Linked DNA regions of Ovis aries. The protein of the gene in region 2 purifies or fractionates together with the protein of the main gene of each other region. This does not show direct contact. Links are inferred from orthologs where the notes say so. Each region holds a gene or a part of one and is shown on either strand. Other genes may lie near its edges.

Region 1 (7,507 bases), on a different chromosome or scaffold from region 2:
TTCCTTTCCCTTTTAGCTACCCCTGTGAAATTATGATTTCTTGTTAAACCATATCAATTTTGTCAGTGCTTTACCATCATCCTACTCAAATTTTACTCTATCAGCTACATTATTTTTAATGATTTTTAAGCTTTGCTACTTCTCTGAGTACAAATTCCTTTATTTTCTTGTCCTTAAGAGCAAACAATTCCTAATTTGTAAATCATCAAAAGAAAATTTTATGTAGTAAATCATATAGGGTAGGATAGCATCTACAGCAAAGCAAGCAAGAGCTTCTCTAAAAAATAAATGGTCTTTAACCCACATTCTCACTATTTTTAGGCTTGTAGAGAAGGAAGGTATGCTATATCATGATAAAGTATTTTGAACAACATTTTTTACTTTTTAGGCGTATTCTTTAGTGGATCGTGAGGTTGGTTACTGTCAAGGAAGTGCTTTTATAGTTGGATTGCTGCTTATGCAGGTAGGTTATATAAGTATTAAAGTTGGAGAATTTAAAAATCATCCTTGTTTTTAGTAAGTGGATTTTGGGTGTTTTTCTCCTAAGCATAATCTAAATAAGAACATTTAGTTTGCATTTTAAAATATTAAACATGTTGAAAATAACACATGGTAAATATCCTGCCACTAAATCAAATTTCATCTTATCTACATTTGGAATCTTATATGTCTGTATTTAATGAGGAATAATCTTTTCCCAGCTAAGGAGGACTGATTAAAGTGTTTCTATAGAAATCTTACTTTATGGGACTTCTCTGGTGGGTTTGATCCCTTATTGAACTAAGATCCCCCATATTGTGTGGCAAGGCTACATGCACACACAAGTCATAGTTATGATATACAGTGTCTTTGGAAGTTTATACAGTACTTTTATTTGTCACAGAACTGAGGGCTTGTTACACCTGTCTTATTATAGGCTTAAAAATAGTGGTACTCAGTCACTTCTGCTGCCTTAGGGATAAACATGTTTCCATTGGCAGTGGCTTGTATTGGGTGGGGTGTTTTTGGAAGTCAAGGACAGGGCAGTAAGTCATAGCTTTGACAGGAAATAGCATATGATGTTATCTATTTAGCAGTATTGAAAATTTTTTTAAAGTCTATCTTACTCTTGTATTAAGTCTCAGACTGAAATATAACTTGAAAAGAAATCTTGGAGAAAACTTTTGAGTCATTTAGGCTTGTTTTTGCAACTCAGTTCTGCACTGAGTTCTGTAACCTTGGGCTAGATTATTTTAACATCTTTTTCTTAGCCTTAATTAGGTACTACTTCTACTTTTAGATTCATTATGAGGGTTATATAATATATGTAATAGGCTAGCATGGTGTTTGACACATGGTAGACATGCAATAGAAGTTCAGTGACTTGCCCAAGGTCACATATCTTGGTAGATAAGAGCAGTGTAGGAATCAGAAACTGTTTCTCTACTGTTACTGTTGTTCAGTCGCTCAGTAGTGTCACACTCTTTGTGACTACATGGTGTGCAGCATGCCAGGCTTCCCTGTCCTTCACCAACTTCCGGAGCTTGCTCAAACTCATGTCCATTGAGTCGGTGATGCCATCCAACCATCTCATGCTCTGTTGTCCCCTTCTCCTGCCTTCAATCTTTCCCAGCATCAGGGTCTTTTCTAATGAGTCAGTTCTTCACATCAGGTGGCCAAAGTTTTGGAGTTTCAGCTTCAGCATCAGTCCTTCCAATGAATATTCAGGACTGATTTCCTTTAGGATGGACTGGCTGTCCAAGGGACTCTCAAGAGTCTTCTCCAGCACCATAGTTCAAAAGCATCAATTCCTCGGCACTCAGCTTTCTTTGTAGTCCAACTTTCACATCCATACATAACTACTGGAAAAACCATAGCTTCGACTAGATGGACCTTCGTTGCCAAAGTAAGGTCGCTGCTTTTTAATATGCTGTCTAAGTTTGTTATAACTTTTCTTCCAAGGAGCAAGCATCTTTAATTTCATGGCTGCAGTCACCATCTGCAGTGATTTTGGAGCCCAAGAAAATAAAGTCTGCCACTGTTTCCCCATCTATTTGCCATGATGTGATGGGACCAGATGCCGCTATCTTCATTTTTGGAATGTTGAGTTTTAAGTCAGCTTGAAAACTCTCCTCTTTTACCTTCATGAAGAGGCTCTTTAGTTCCTCTTCACTTTCTGCATAAGGGTGGTGGCATCTGCATATCTGAGGTTGTTGATATTTTCCCTTGTAATCTTGATTTCAGCTTGTGCTTCATCCACCCTGGCATTTTGCGTGATGTACTCTGCATATAAGTTAAATAAGCAGGGTGACAGTATATATCCTTTCACAATTTTGAACCAGTCTATTGTGCCATGTCCGGTTCTAACTGTTGCTTCTTAACTGCATACAGGTTTCTCAGGAGGCAGATAAGGTGGTCTGGTATTCCCATCCCTTGAAGAATTTTCCACAGTTTGTTGTGATCCACACGGTCAAAGGCTTTAGCATAGTCAATGAAGCAGAAGTTGATGTTTTTCTGAAATTCTCTTGCTTTTTCTATAATCCAACGGATGTTGGCAATTTGATCTCTGGTTCCCCTGCCTTTTCTAAATCCAGCTTGAACATCTGGAAGTTCTCGGTTCTCATACTGTTGAAGTGGAGAATTTTCAGCATTACGTTACTAGCATGTGAGATGAGTATAATTGTGCGGTAGTTTGAACATTCTTTGGCATTGCCTTTCTTTGGGATTGAAATGAAAACTGACCTTTTTCAGTCCTGTGGCCACTGCTGAGTTTTCCAAATTTGCTGGCATATTGAGTGCAGCACTTTCACAGCATCCTCTTTTAGGATTTGAAATAGCTCAACTGAAATTCCATCACCTCCACTAGTTCATAATGGTGCTTCCTAAGGCCCAGTTGACTTTGCATTCCAGGATGTCTGACTCTAGGTGAGTCAGACATGGTGTTAAAATAGTTAAGAGTACTGGGTATATGTTTTGTGTAATCTTAGTACTGCTTTAAAATTGGGCAAATAGTGTCCCCACTAGACCTTTGCAAAAGACATGATTCTTATTAACTCGGTGTCATAGAGAAAATGTGTATCAGAGAGAAGGGGCAGTTAGTGGCGATGAGGCATTGAGGTCCAAGGAGGGACATGTGCGTCTCTATTCCTGCCCTCTTCCAGTGCTGAGGGAGAGAAAACAGCTTCCTCAGGAGACAGCCAGATTTCGGTTTTGAAGTATCCTTAGGGGGAGTCAGGTTTCACTTAGAGAAAGACAGTGAAAGAACATTTGATGAGGAGATTGAGGGTATAGATAGGATATTTTATTGATGGCAGGCTATTAGTTCCAGAAAGTCCTGTGTAAAAGGTTTAGGGCATATTAGAAATGGGGTAGATTATGGAAGCACTGGAAGCACATGGGATGAGCGTTCTAGGATACTGGGTTTCTTGTAGTGACTGACATAAAAATCAGTGAGGCTATAAAGCTTGATAGGATTAATGAAGATATGTGTTGGGAGGAAGGAAGGAAGGATGAGTTTTGCTAAGAATAGTTCTTGGCTCCTGTTCATTCCCTGTGTTGAGGCCAGGGAAAATGTATTGTTAATAAATGTAGTCTTCAATAAGAAAAGCGCTTAGAGACCTTTTGAGGTTTCCTCTTTTAAAACACACTGGTATAGTGTGAGTGAATGAACATTAGAAAATTTTATCTTAATACACAAGAAATTCCCTGGCAGTCCAGTGGTTAGGACTGTATGCTCCCAGGGCATGGGTTTGGAGAACTCATATCTCTGCATGACACAAAAATAAAGATCACACAGTAATTTGTATGTTATGTATCTAAATTTAATATCTGTGTAACTCTACAGAGCTTTTATATTCAGTATCTTAGTTGATGTAATTATCTAGTGGGTTACACACAAAATGTGAAATTGAAACCTTTAAAACCCTAATTACATTTCTGCTCAGAACCCTTGAAAAGCCTCCCATCTCACTTAAGATAAAAGTTCAAGTCCTTACAGTGGTTTCTAAAATCCTAAGGTTTGGTTTGTTGTATTTCTCCTCTATAACCATACCTTCATTTGTAACATCACTCCTAATTTAGTAGTCCCCCATTTATTGTTCCTTGAGCATGCCACTCGTGATTCCATTTCAAGATATTTGTATTATTCTCTCAGTACTGTTCTTCCCTCAGTTGTTCCCTTACTTTCAGTATTCTGCTCCAATGTAACCTTACCAAGAGACATTCTCTGACCTACATATAAATAAATAGAACGTATCTCCCCAGGATTCCCTGTTGCTTTACTTTGTCTTATTTCAATAGCACTTTGCACCATCTGACATATATTAATTGATTTATTCCATATATTGCCTGGAGAATCCCATACACAGAGGAGCCTGTCAGGCTACAGGGTGGGTCACAAGAGTCGGGCACTATTAGGGACTAAACCACCATGTATTGTCTTATCTCCCCCTACTGGAAGGTTCAAACTCCCTGAAAGTAGACTATTTTGTTCACTGGTGTATGAGAGAGAGAGAAGTATCTGGCGTTAAATGAATATTTGTTGATTGAATTCATGAGTTAGGCAAGTGAGGCAGCTGGTCTCAGTTGTAAGATTTGCCTAATTTCTCATTGATGGTGATAGAATGGGAAGTTAGAATCTTCTGATTCCTAGTCCATTGCTCTTAATATTATATCACTTGGCACTCAAAACAGTGGTTATAGTTGGATAAGTACTTAGTTTAAATGTATTAGCTTATTTGTTTATCACAGAACATTAATAGATGTTGCTTTTTTTCCTCCTAATGCAGATGCCAGAAGAAGAAGCTTTCTGTGTATTTGTTAAATTAATGCAAGATTATAGACTTCGTGAACTTTTTAAACCAAGTATGGCAGAATTAGGCCTTTGTATGTACCAGTTTGAATGCATGATACAGGTAAAAGTGTGGTGTTAACCAAAAACATACTGCCTTTGTATTTTTTGTCATCTTGGTTTGAGTGACAACTAAGCAAATTTAATGTCAAAAGCATTAAAGCAACTGAAAAAAAAATCACTGTTTTGATTACATGATTATTTGTTGGTCCGTTAACCCACAGTTTAGACTTTACTTCCCAGTTAGGTGCTGTGCCAGGTAGATCATCTGGAACTTTACTACAATTTTTATGTTCAAATCTTAAACATTTGTGCCAAATATATCATAACCTAGGTGCATGAGTTTCTTTATTATGCTGTGTTGATCACATTATTTTATGTAGATTATGCTCTCCTACAGAAGCCCATGACATTTGGACGCTGATACAATTCATTTCCTTTGAGATGGGATCTCATCTTTTCAATCCTCTCCCCTGCCTTTCCCCTACCTTTCTTTACTGCCTTTCATCTCACTTTTTCTGCTAACCTGTAATCTTAAAAAAATTACTGTCTCTATCCTTTTATATTGTTGATTTAAGATTCATAGTCTTATTGACTGTCTGAGGGTAAAGAGAAGAAGAAAGAGAGGAATCAAAACCAAGTGAAAAATACCTTTAAAGTATTTCACCTTTCTGGATTTAATTTTTGTATTTATATAAGTAGATTTGGTATTTTCCCCTGTGGTATAATGGTATAAATATTCTCCATTTACTTACATTTCCATTAGGTAAGCAAACTTTAAGAATATAAGTTAAGGATTCAGCTGGCATAAGAGCCATTTTCCTGAGAAAAGTCTCCATTTCCCTGGCAGCCTTACCCACAGGAATTTTAAAATCCTTTACCTTTTCTATGTGTGATGAGAAGAAAGGGATATACCAAATGTTTTTGCATTTTAAAGAGAAAGACAAAGTAGGTCTTGATGATTCTTATTGGTCTTTTAAATAGTAAGCTTATTTTTATCAACCTTAAACTCCCTTGGTTTATTTTCAGTTAATGTGTCATTTATGTTTTGAATTAACTAGAGTTACTGAAGTATCTCAGATGAGAAGGGAGCTTAGGATAGGCAGTCAGGGTTATATAGCACCTGAAAGTATTTCAACATAGCATCTTTCCTTTAAAAAATTTTTTTTAAAAAATATTATAGTTTATATAAAAGTAAAGAAAATTGTAAAAATTTTACTTATTTATTGTAATTTTTCTTATTAAGAAATCATTAGGAAGTTCCAACTTTTTAAGTTCCAACTCCACATCCTTTTTCCCTTCTTCCTTTTCCAAATAGTAACCACTATCTAAAGTGTCCATTTCTGCCTCTTATTTCTTCCATGTGATTCCTGAATTTTCATGTTTATGTTTGGTAAGGGCTAATTTAGTATGTGTACAATAGTTTGGCTTAAAATACTCAGTTTTATAGTGTTTTAGTTAATTAATTCCTTTCTTCTGTTTAGGAGCACCTTCCAGAGCTCTTTGTGCATTTTCAGTCTCAGAGTTTTCATACTTCAATGTATGCATCATCATGGTTTCTGACTATCTTCCTTACAACTTTTCCACTACCAATCGCAACAAGGATATTTGATATCTTTATGTCTGAGGTAAGTTAGTGGGCAGCTTACCAGACTGAGCAAAGGAATCACTGGGTTAATGAGAGCTAGGCAATGAGGAGAACAATAAAGGAGACTCATGTGTTCCATGCTAAGCTGCTTGCATGGATAATCTCATTTAATCCTATAACATCCCTATGAGTACTGTTCATCTCCTCATTTGATGGATGACAGGTGAAGAAACTGATACTTAGAGAAACATTAAGTAGCTTGTCTATGGACACATAACACATAAGTGGTATAGTAACCAAGATTCAAACATAGGCAGTCAAAATCAGGAGCCTGTACTCTTAATCAGACCTGAATTACCTCCTTTTTGATTTAGTGAGAATTAGTGAGGGTTAAAATTTCCTTTACAGTTAATATTGTTGCAATGCATCTGTTACCCAAAGAAGAAGTAATGAGTATAATTTTCTTCTATCCCATGAACACCTTGCAGGTAGTCCTTTTAACTGTCACTGACATGTAGTGGTGACCCTTTGTCTTCTGTATTTTGACTGAGAAAGTAGGAAGGTAAGGATAGGTGATCAGTGATAGAGAGCACCTAAGAATGTTATTAATTATTATTAATTACATCTTGGGAAGATCAATTTATATAACATAGCTTAATTCGGTTAGTCTGGAGCCAGGAAACTATGAATCGTGTACTGATCTATCCTGGTTTGCCTGCCAAATCTGTCCTTTCTGTAAATAAAGTTTCTTGGAACATAGCCATCACTGTTTGTTGATATGATGTCTGTGTCTGCTTTTCAGCTGCAATTCCAGGGTTGATTATTTGTGACACTTATAGGTAGGGCCTAAAGCCTAAAACATTTGTTTTCCAACTCTTTACAGAAAATGTGTGCTGTCCTCTAGTTTAGGTACCTAAGTGTTTACCTTAATATTCTTTTGAGTGATTAGTTGTTGTGGAAGAGTAAGTTAAATTTGACTTTATAATTTGATTCTTCAGGGTTTAGAAATAGTGTTTCGGGTAGGATTAGCGCTTCTTCAGATGAATCAGGCAGAACTGATGCAACTCGACATGGAAGGGATGTTACAGGTA
Region 2 (7,987 bases):
ACTTGTTAAAGGATTATACCTTAAGTGACAACAGAATATATTGCTTCTTTAAGAACAGCACTGCCAAGATGCTGCTGAGAAATGACACAATATGGAAAACCTCTTCTATGCAGTTACCAAATGAGAAACTGAACCAAGAAAGGTTATATTTAGGCTCACTAAATAATAAACAAACTAAAATGGATTGTTACCTAAACAACTGAAAAGAATTCACTGTGATTTTAAAAACAATTCAAAAGTTCACAGACTCAAACTTAGTTTCTAATCAAAAATATTTTCATTAAGATGACAATATTCAATTGCTTTTTTAAAATACGACCCACTACATGATCACATCCTATAGTTCAAAAAAGGAATTTGCAGTGACTTTCCTTACTTTTTATCACTAGTATCTTAAAGTTTTTCCACTTTAAACATTTTATAACTGTAGCCATCTACATAAAATATATATATGTAAGTATAAATTAAATAATAGAATCTGTATATGAAACCACATTTCTTAAATAAATCTGATAATATTCATTATCACTTGGTTAACCTCATCTAATACTAAATTTGGTTCATTATATATCAAATACTAGGCTGCTAAAAGCTATAAAAAGAATATACGCATTAACTGACCATTATTTAATAAGAATTTCCAACTCTTCAACCACATTTAGTTTTATACAGTCTGTTACAAACTAATGTACTAGACAAAAATTTCATTCAACAAATCATAGTATCTCAGACCTAACAGTTATAACCTGAAGTAACTGATAATTTTCACACTGGTTTATAAATAAACCTGGAGATCTTTCTACTTTCAACTATATTCATAGTCCAAACTCACCAAGAGTCTTTTTTAAAATTAAATAAGGCTGAAGTCTAGACAAGTTTTTCTAGATTCAGCAGAACCCAAATTGCTCAACCATAAGTTGTGAAAGAAAACTATCAAGATGCAAGACAGCAAAGTTCCTATGATCAGCCCCACTAATAATCAGCTGATGGTTAATTACTACTGACCTTCAATTAGACTGAAAAGAAAATGGTGTAGACTACGTACACGGATATTTTCAGAATATGTGACTCTGACTGAGTTAATGTCTACCACAATATTTGCCAATAGGAACTATGATTGATTTATACTTCACTTATGTGTCTGTCCCACAGGGACACTGTGTGTAAATGTAGAATTAAAGTTTTTAAAACAGTCAAGTTTTAAAATTAAAATTCACCACCACCAGCAGTCTCACTGTTGAGCTAAAGATTAATGTTCAAGAACAAATACATAATTTAAAATTTTCCTACTCTCCCCATTCTTCCACTTGAACCACTCCATCTTACACCAATCAGGATATCCTTTCATTCTCAACTGGTTAGAGCTACAAACTAATTTACAATTCCCTCAACTATTAAGTTTGCTAGGTTCTTTTTCCAAGGAGACAGCTGCAGCTCATCTCAGGGAATATCTACATAGCATAAAACCATTTAAAACTGAAATTATTGTTGCTTCTTTTTAAATTAAAATTGTATAAATAAGAAATTGGCTATATAATCATCAAAGAAGTTAAAAAGTGACTCATATCCTATTAAGAGCTTTTTTAAAAGTGGAAATCTTTCTCAGCAGAATTTTTAAAAACATTCTAACAGCAAAGTGTACAACAAATGAAACCAAAACCTGTGGAAATATAAGGTACTTTAGAAGGCTCTAGTTTTAAGTTTCTTTACTAATACTTAAATGCTCTTCCAGTTATAGATTTACGGTTTTAAGGAAAAAAAAAAAAAAACTTTTGAGAACCACAGTAACTTCTTTAACATTATCTGAGTTCTCAAAGAAGCTAAAACTTTACAGTCTCACTTAATTCTCACAACAACCCTGAGAGATACTATTTTATTTTTACAGATGAGAGAACTGAGGCTCAAAAGTCAGCTTTCCCAAGGTCACAAAGCAAATGTAAGACCTGAGGCAGTAATCTGAAACCAGGCCTGTGCCATTCCAAAGCCCTGGGCTTTCTCAATCATTGTTAGCAAAGTGGTCTAAACCCCAAAGCTAAGTTAAAATCCCTTAAGCCAATCCAAGGTACTAAGTATTTTTGGTGAGGAAATAACTAGGTTCTATAACCAACACTCAAGTTGTAAACCAAACAAGAGAATGACAGTCTATCTTGTCCTAAATTAATTACTTCAAAAGCAGCCCTTATGTAAAAAAAAACAAATCTCCCTTTAATGACTAAACCCCAGTCTCCAGGGTCTCACTGAAGTAATTTCACCAGACCTCAGAAGCCTTCAGCCAACAGTATGTAAACTAATCCATGTTTCTTTTTTGTATTTGTAAAATGATTAAGTACCCTCTTCTCTGTAAACAACTTCCCACTGTCAGGCGGTGGGAGTGGATACTGAAGGTACTCACTCTGGGCCAGAATTTCTGGCCCAGAAGAGTTAAGTGGCAGTAGGCCCATCAACTAGTAGGCCAAGGTTTGCAGAGTACTGGTAAAGCAATGTTTCCTGCTCTGTTTAGTCAACCATACTTAGCACCCAGTGGCAAAGTCAGAAAGAGTCATTAAGCTTAACATTCTTTTCAAACTCCACCCTTCACTGTAAAGCTTTAATAGTAATGGCTTCTTCCTCCTTGGTAATGATCTTTGTTCAGCATAGTACTGATGGCTGCCCTCCTAACTCAGGACCAGAGAAACAGCATCAGAGAGAGAGCATTCATCCAACAAAAAAAGCATTTACTGTACTTTCCTCTCAAGGAAAACTGTACCCATTATCTTTGTCGATTAAAAAAAAAAACACAAAACTATTTGGATTCTTTCCGGACTAACCAATAAGCAATTCTTTTTTTCACTCCCCATCCTCCACTATGTTTTGTCCAAGGGCACTACATGGTTCCCTATCTTATGAAAAATATTTAATTTGACCAAAGAGCACACAACTTCCCCATGCTCCCCCACCTTTGGGGAAAGGTATGTGGCCAACCAGGACGCTTCCCTTCCTGTTCTAAAAACACCAAAAGGCTGGATCCTCCCAGCGTTGCAGCAGGAAGCAACCAGTCCGTAGCGATAAAGCAAGCTATTTGTGCAGCGTACAACCTTTCCTGCTCAGGAACTGGGCCTTCAGGTCTGGCAAGGATAACAGCCACCACCCATCCGTATCCCCTAGTCTCGGACAGAGTCAAGAGTTATCCCAGGCTGGTTGCCTCTGGGTAGGGAGGGTAGGAGAAAAGAAGGCTGGGTGGGAAGTCACATCGGTCTGCCGGGTCACTGCGACAAGTGCGCGCGTGGGTGCTGGGACAATCCCTCCTGCCCTACCCCCCACCGCCGGGGTCGCACGAGCGACGTGGGAGAGCTCGTAAACTACTCGCCGAGGGAAGGCAGAAAAAGAGCTACCAATGCCGGGGGCCATGCGAGGTTTCGGGCCACGAGAAGTGTGGGGCGGGTGGGGGTGGGGCCGCCGACCCGCTCGGATTTTTAACCAGGGCCTGGCCCCGGGGATAGAAGAGGGCGAGGAGAGGCGGCTGTCCGAGGGCAGAGGAGGGTTCGCCCGAGGGAAAAGGGAGGCAGATAAGAAAAAGATCTGTATGGGAGAGTTCGCCTAAAGAAAGGTGAAGAACGAAGGGAAAGGCCTGTCGGAGGGGCTCAGGAAGGGTGTATACCGAAGGGGAGGGGGCGCTGAACCCGAAAACATGGATGGTGGGGGGTGGGCGCCCCATTAAGGGGGCCCTGGAACCCGAGGAGGAAGGAAAGCGATTCGAGAGACGGCAGTCGGCCGCGAGAGGGGCGCAGGGTAGGGACCGTGAGGCTTCCTAAGGCCTCTGGGGAGGTCGCTATGAGACCGCTGTGTGGTGAGGACCCCCATCCGTGAGTGGAAGGAAAGGGGCTGAGCTGGGGGACCTCAGGATAAGCTGCACAGAGAGGAAGAGCTGAGGAAGGCCGATCTCAGGGCAGGGGCAACCCGCGGGCGGGTCCCCCGGGAGTGTCCCGGGCCCCCAAACCGGGACTCCAGGGAGACTTCCGGAGCCCACAGCCTCACCTTTGAAGAGGTAGTCGTACTCGTCGTCGCGGGTGCCCATTGCGCGGCCGAGAAGCGAAGGGGCGGGAGCAGCAGTGGTACCGGTGGGACCAGGGGGCGTCGCTGCAGGGGTAACCCGAACGCCGAGCTTCAGCTGCCGGACCCGGTAAAGAACCCCTCCCTGCCGCTACGCCACTTCCGGCAGGCCCCCACCCATAGGGGGAAGTACTTCCGGGGGCGGCGCCCCGCCCCTCAGCCCAATAAAGGGGGCGTGCGCAAGTTTGTCGTCTGTTGTCCAAGCTTCCCGGGCTTGGAGGGGTTTCGAGTGGGTTAATGAGCACTGTACTCCCGGCTTACCTCACTGATAGAGGCTGCTCTCCATACATAATAGTCTCTCCCTCACTCCACTCGCCGCTATTCGGGGAAGTGGGGCACTGGAGAGCGCTTCAGCACTGCCTCTGGTGGTCGGTTTGTGGATGGGGGCGGGGTTCTCTAAGGATTAGAGAGTCGAAGGCAGGATCGTGAGCGTGGCGGTTCCATGGTGTAATGGTTAGCACTCTGGACTCTGAATCCAGCGATCCGAGTTCAAATCTCGGTGGAACCTGTATTCCTTACACTTTTGGTTTGGGTTTTGTTTTTTCCCTGGCCACGATTTTATAAGTCATGTACTTATTCACAAGGTGACTCTTGTACACCTGCGGGGTATATGTGTTCTTGAACTGAGTAGGGAGGGAATGCCACGAAACTCAGTTGCCTAGGAAGAGCACATGCATTTCCTTCAGTTCTGTACTCTGTTACCTAGGTGTCTCCTAAGTATCCTCTACACTTCACCCTTTTTGTTTTTTTAACCTCGGCCGTCTTCGAAAGCTTCCATGAAAAGTTGATTGCTTTTGTTAGAATTTTCAGCCTCCAACTTCATACGAGGGCAGGCACTTTCCACTCCTTCTCTCCAGAAATCTCTCAAACTGTCTCCAGATGTATTCACAGAACCTCGCCCACCCTCCTCATCAAAATTCATCAAGAACTTCTTGAACCCTATTTGTCACCCTTTAAGCTGAACCTGGTTACATAGTTATTTTCTTTAACATGCAGAGCAAAGGATGACAATTTCCATTTTTGCAGAAACGTGGATGGGGAGGTTCAAGTGATTTCCAAAGATCACACACCAGGGCCTCCCTGTATGTGACGAGACTTATGATGGCTCAGTGGTAAAGAATCTGCCTGCAGATGCAGGGGACTCTGGCTTGATCTCATTCCCTGAAGGAGGAAGTGGCAACCCACCCCTGAAAAATCCCATGGACAGAGGAGCCTGGTGGGCTATCCAGTCCATGGGGTCCCAGAGAGTGGGACACACTGAGTACATAAGCACTATGTTTATGCCAAAAAGCTGTACCCATTTATTGTCAAACCTCACTACACCTGTGTGCAATTTAAGTTTTCATCAAGGGTGCCTGTAGTAAGTAGAATAAAGGCTCTCCCAAAATGTCCACATCCCAATCCTTGGGACCTGTGAATATACTAGATTATGTGGCAAAGGGAAATTAAGGTTGCAGGTGGAATTAAGGTTGCAAATCAACTAACTTTAAAACAGGACAATTATCTTTGGAGTCTCCATGTGGGCCTAATGTCCTCTCAAGTGTCCTTAAAAGTGGAAAAGGGAGGTCAGAGTGTTATGGTGTGCGAAGGCTTCAACAGGCCCTTTTAGCTTTGAACATGAAGAAAGGGGGCCAGGAGCCTAGGAATGCAGAGGCTTATAGAAGATGGAAAAGGCAAAATATAAATAAGAGGAGATGGAAAAGGCAAGGAAACTGAGTCTTCCCTAAGGCCACCAGAAAGAACACAGCCCTGCTGATACCTTGATTTTAGCCCAGTGATACCCGTGTCAGACTTCAGATCTATAGTACTATAAAGTAATAAATTTCTGTAGTTTTGTCACCAACATTGCGGTAATTTGTTACAGCAGCAATAGAAAACTAATACAGTGCCATTTTCAGTGCTTTCCAAAGCAGTATATAGCAACAGAAGGTTTACCAAAGGGTCAATAACAGTTCTGAAGGAGTAACGAGCAGAATGAGCAATTCTGGCAACAAATGGGTAGCTCAGAGGAACTGAGATAATTAGGAAGAACTCCCTGGGGACTTGCCTGGCAGTACAGTGGCTAAGATTCTAAGCTCCCAGTCCAGGAACTTGGGTTGGATCCCTGGTCAGAGAACTAGATCCGAATGCCATAAGGTAGACTGAAGATCCCATGTGCCACAACAAAGACCTGGTGACCTGGTGCAGTCAAATAAATAGGAAAAACAAACAAAGAACTACCTGGAAGAGGAGGAGCTAGCACTGACTCCTGAGTTCAGTTCAGTCGCTCAGTCGTGTCCGACTCTTTGCGACCCCATGAATCGCAGCACGCCAGGCCTCCCTGTCCATCACCATCTCCCAGGGTTCACTCAGACTCACGTCCATCAAGTCCATGATTCCATCCAGGCATTTCATCCTCTGTCGTCGCCTTCTCCTCCTACCCCCAAATCCCTCCCAGCTTCAGAGTCTTTTCCAATGAGTCAACTCTTCACATGAGGTGGCCAAAGTCCTGGAGCTTCAGCTTTAGCATCATTCCCTCCAAAGAAATCCCAGGGTTGATCTCCTTTAGGATGGACTGGTTGGATCTCCTTGCAGTCCAAGGGACTCTCAAGAGTCTTCTCCAACACCACAGTTCAAAAGCATCAATTCTTCGGCGCTCAGCTTTCTTCACAGTCCAACTCTCACATCCATACATGACCACTGGAAAAACCATAGCCTTGACTAGATAGACCTTAGTCGGCAAAGTAATGTCTCTGCTTTTGAATATACTATCTAGGTTGGTCATAACTTCAGTTCAGTTCAGTTCAGTCACTCAGTCGTGTCCAACTCTTTGCGACCCCATGAATCATAGCACACCAGGCCTCCCTGTCCATCACCATCTCCCGGAGTTCACCCAGACTCACATCCATCGAGTCCGTGATGCCATCCAGCCATCTCATCCTCGGTCGTCCCCTTCTCCTCCTGCCCCCAATCCCTCCCAGCATCAGAGTCTTTTCCAGTGAGTCAACTCTTCTCATGAGGTGGCCAAAATACTGGAGTTTCAGCTTTAGCATCATTCCCTCCAAAGAAATCCCCGGGTTGATCTCCTTCAGAATGGACTGGTTGGGTCTCCTTGCAGTCCAAGGGACTCTCAAAAGTCTTCTCCAACACCACAGTTCAGAAGCATCAATTCTTTGGCACTCAGCCTTCTTCACAGTCCAACTCTCACATCCATACATGACCGCAGGAAAAACCATAGCCTTGACTAGACAGACCTTAGTCGGCAAAGTAATGACTTAGGAAGAAGCAAATAAGGAAGCTCATTTGGGGAAGTGGAGAAGATTAGATGATAAGAGCACGTTAAGTAAGACCATTAATGCCAGAGAAATAATCATGAACTTTTCCCCTTAAGTCATTATTTCTCAATGTGCATCCTGAGAAGGTCAATAGTAGTCCTCAAAGGAAGGAGTTCATGCTCAAATAGATTGAAATGCACTGTACACTGTCTCTCCTGCCTTAGAAGTTCCCCTAATACTCTGCCTGTTGTTTTAAAGTCTAAATATCCCACTCTGAAGGAAAAAAATTTTTACTGTATGAAACAGAGCATTTCTCAGATTCACCTGTAAACAAAAAAAGAACAGAGTATCATTCATCATTCATTTACACAAGGATTAAATCAACCCATTGCGGTCACCCACAGTGCAAGAGTGCATCCTGAAGAGAATTTAAGATGAAAAAAACTGGATAAGGCATTCTGTGCTTTAGATAAACAGCCCCTAGATAGTTAAGATGCTTAAGATGGTTAAGCATAGTCAAGTTTTCTCCCATACAGAAGTTTTAACTTTTTATTTACTCAAATCTCTCACAGTCCTTTGGTTTCTGAATGTTGCATGTCACATAAGAAGGCTTCCTCTCCACACGAGATTTTTTCAAAAAACTT

What was found. The genes of interacting proteins can lie anywhere in the genome.
Region 1: the proteins of RAB11A (region 2) and EVI5 purify together in Homo sapiens (co-immunoprecipitation; 3 studies listed by BioGRID and IntAct, with this or other methods). This does not show direct contact. The link is inferred for Ovis aries from reciprocal best matches to the Homo sapiens genes RAB11A and EVI5.

What each region holds. Positions count from the first base shown.
Region 1 is NC_056054.1:69,895,866-69,903,372, reverse strand, and holds part of EVI5 (ecotropic viral integration site 5 protein homolog), read left to right. Parts: intron 1-388; coding exon 389-463; intron 464-4,766; coding exon 4,767-4,892; intron 4,893-6,312; coding exon 6,313-6,456; intron 6,457-7,414; coding exon 7,415-7,504; intron 7,505-7,507. UniProt on the Homo sapiens protein: Functions as a regulator of cell cycle progression by stabilizing the FBXO5 protein and promoting cyclin-A accumulation during interphase. May play a role in cytokinesis.
Region 2 is NC_056060.1:12,714,699-12,722,685, reverse strand, and holds the start of RAB11A (ras-related protein Rab-11A), read right to left. Parts: upstream 4,162-7,987; 5' UTR 4,055-4,161; coding exon 4,015-4,054; intron 1-4,014. UniProt on the Homo sapiens protein: The small GTPases Rab are key regulators of intracellular membrane trafficking, from the formation of transport vesicles to their fusion with membranes.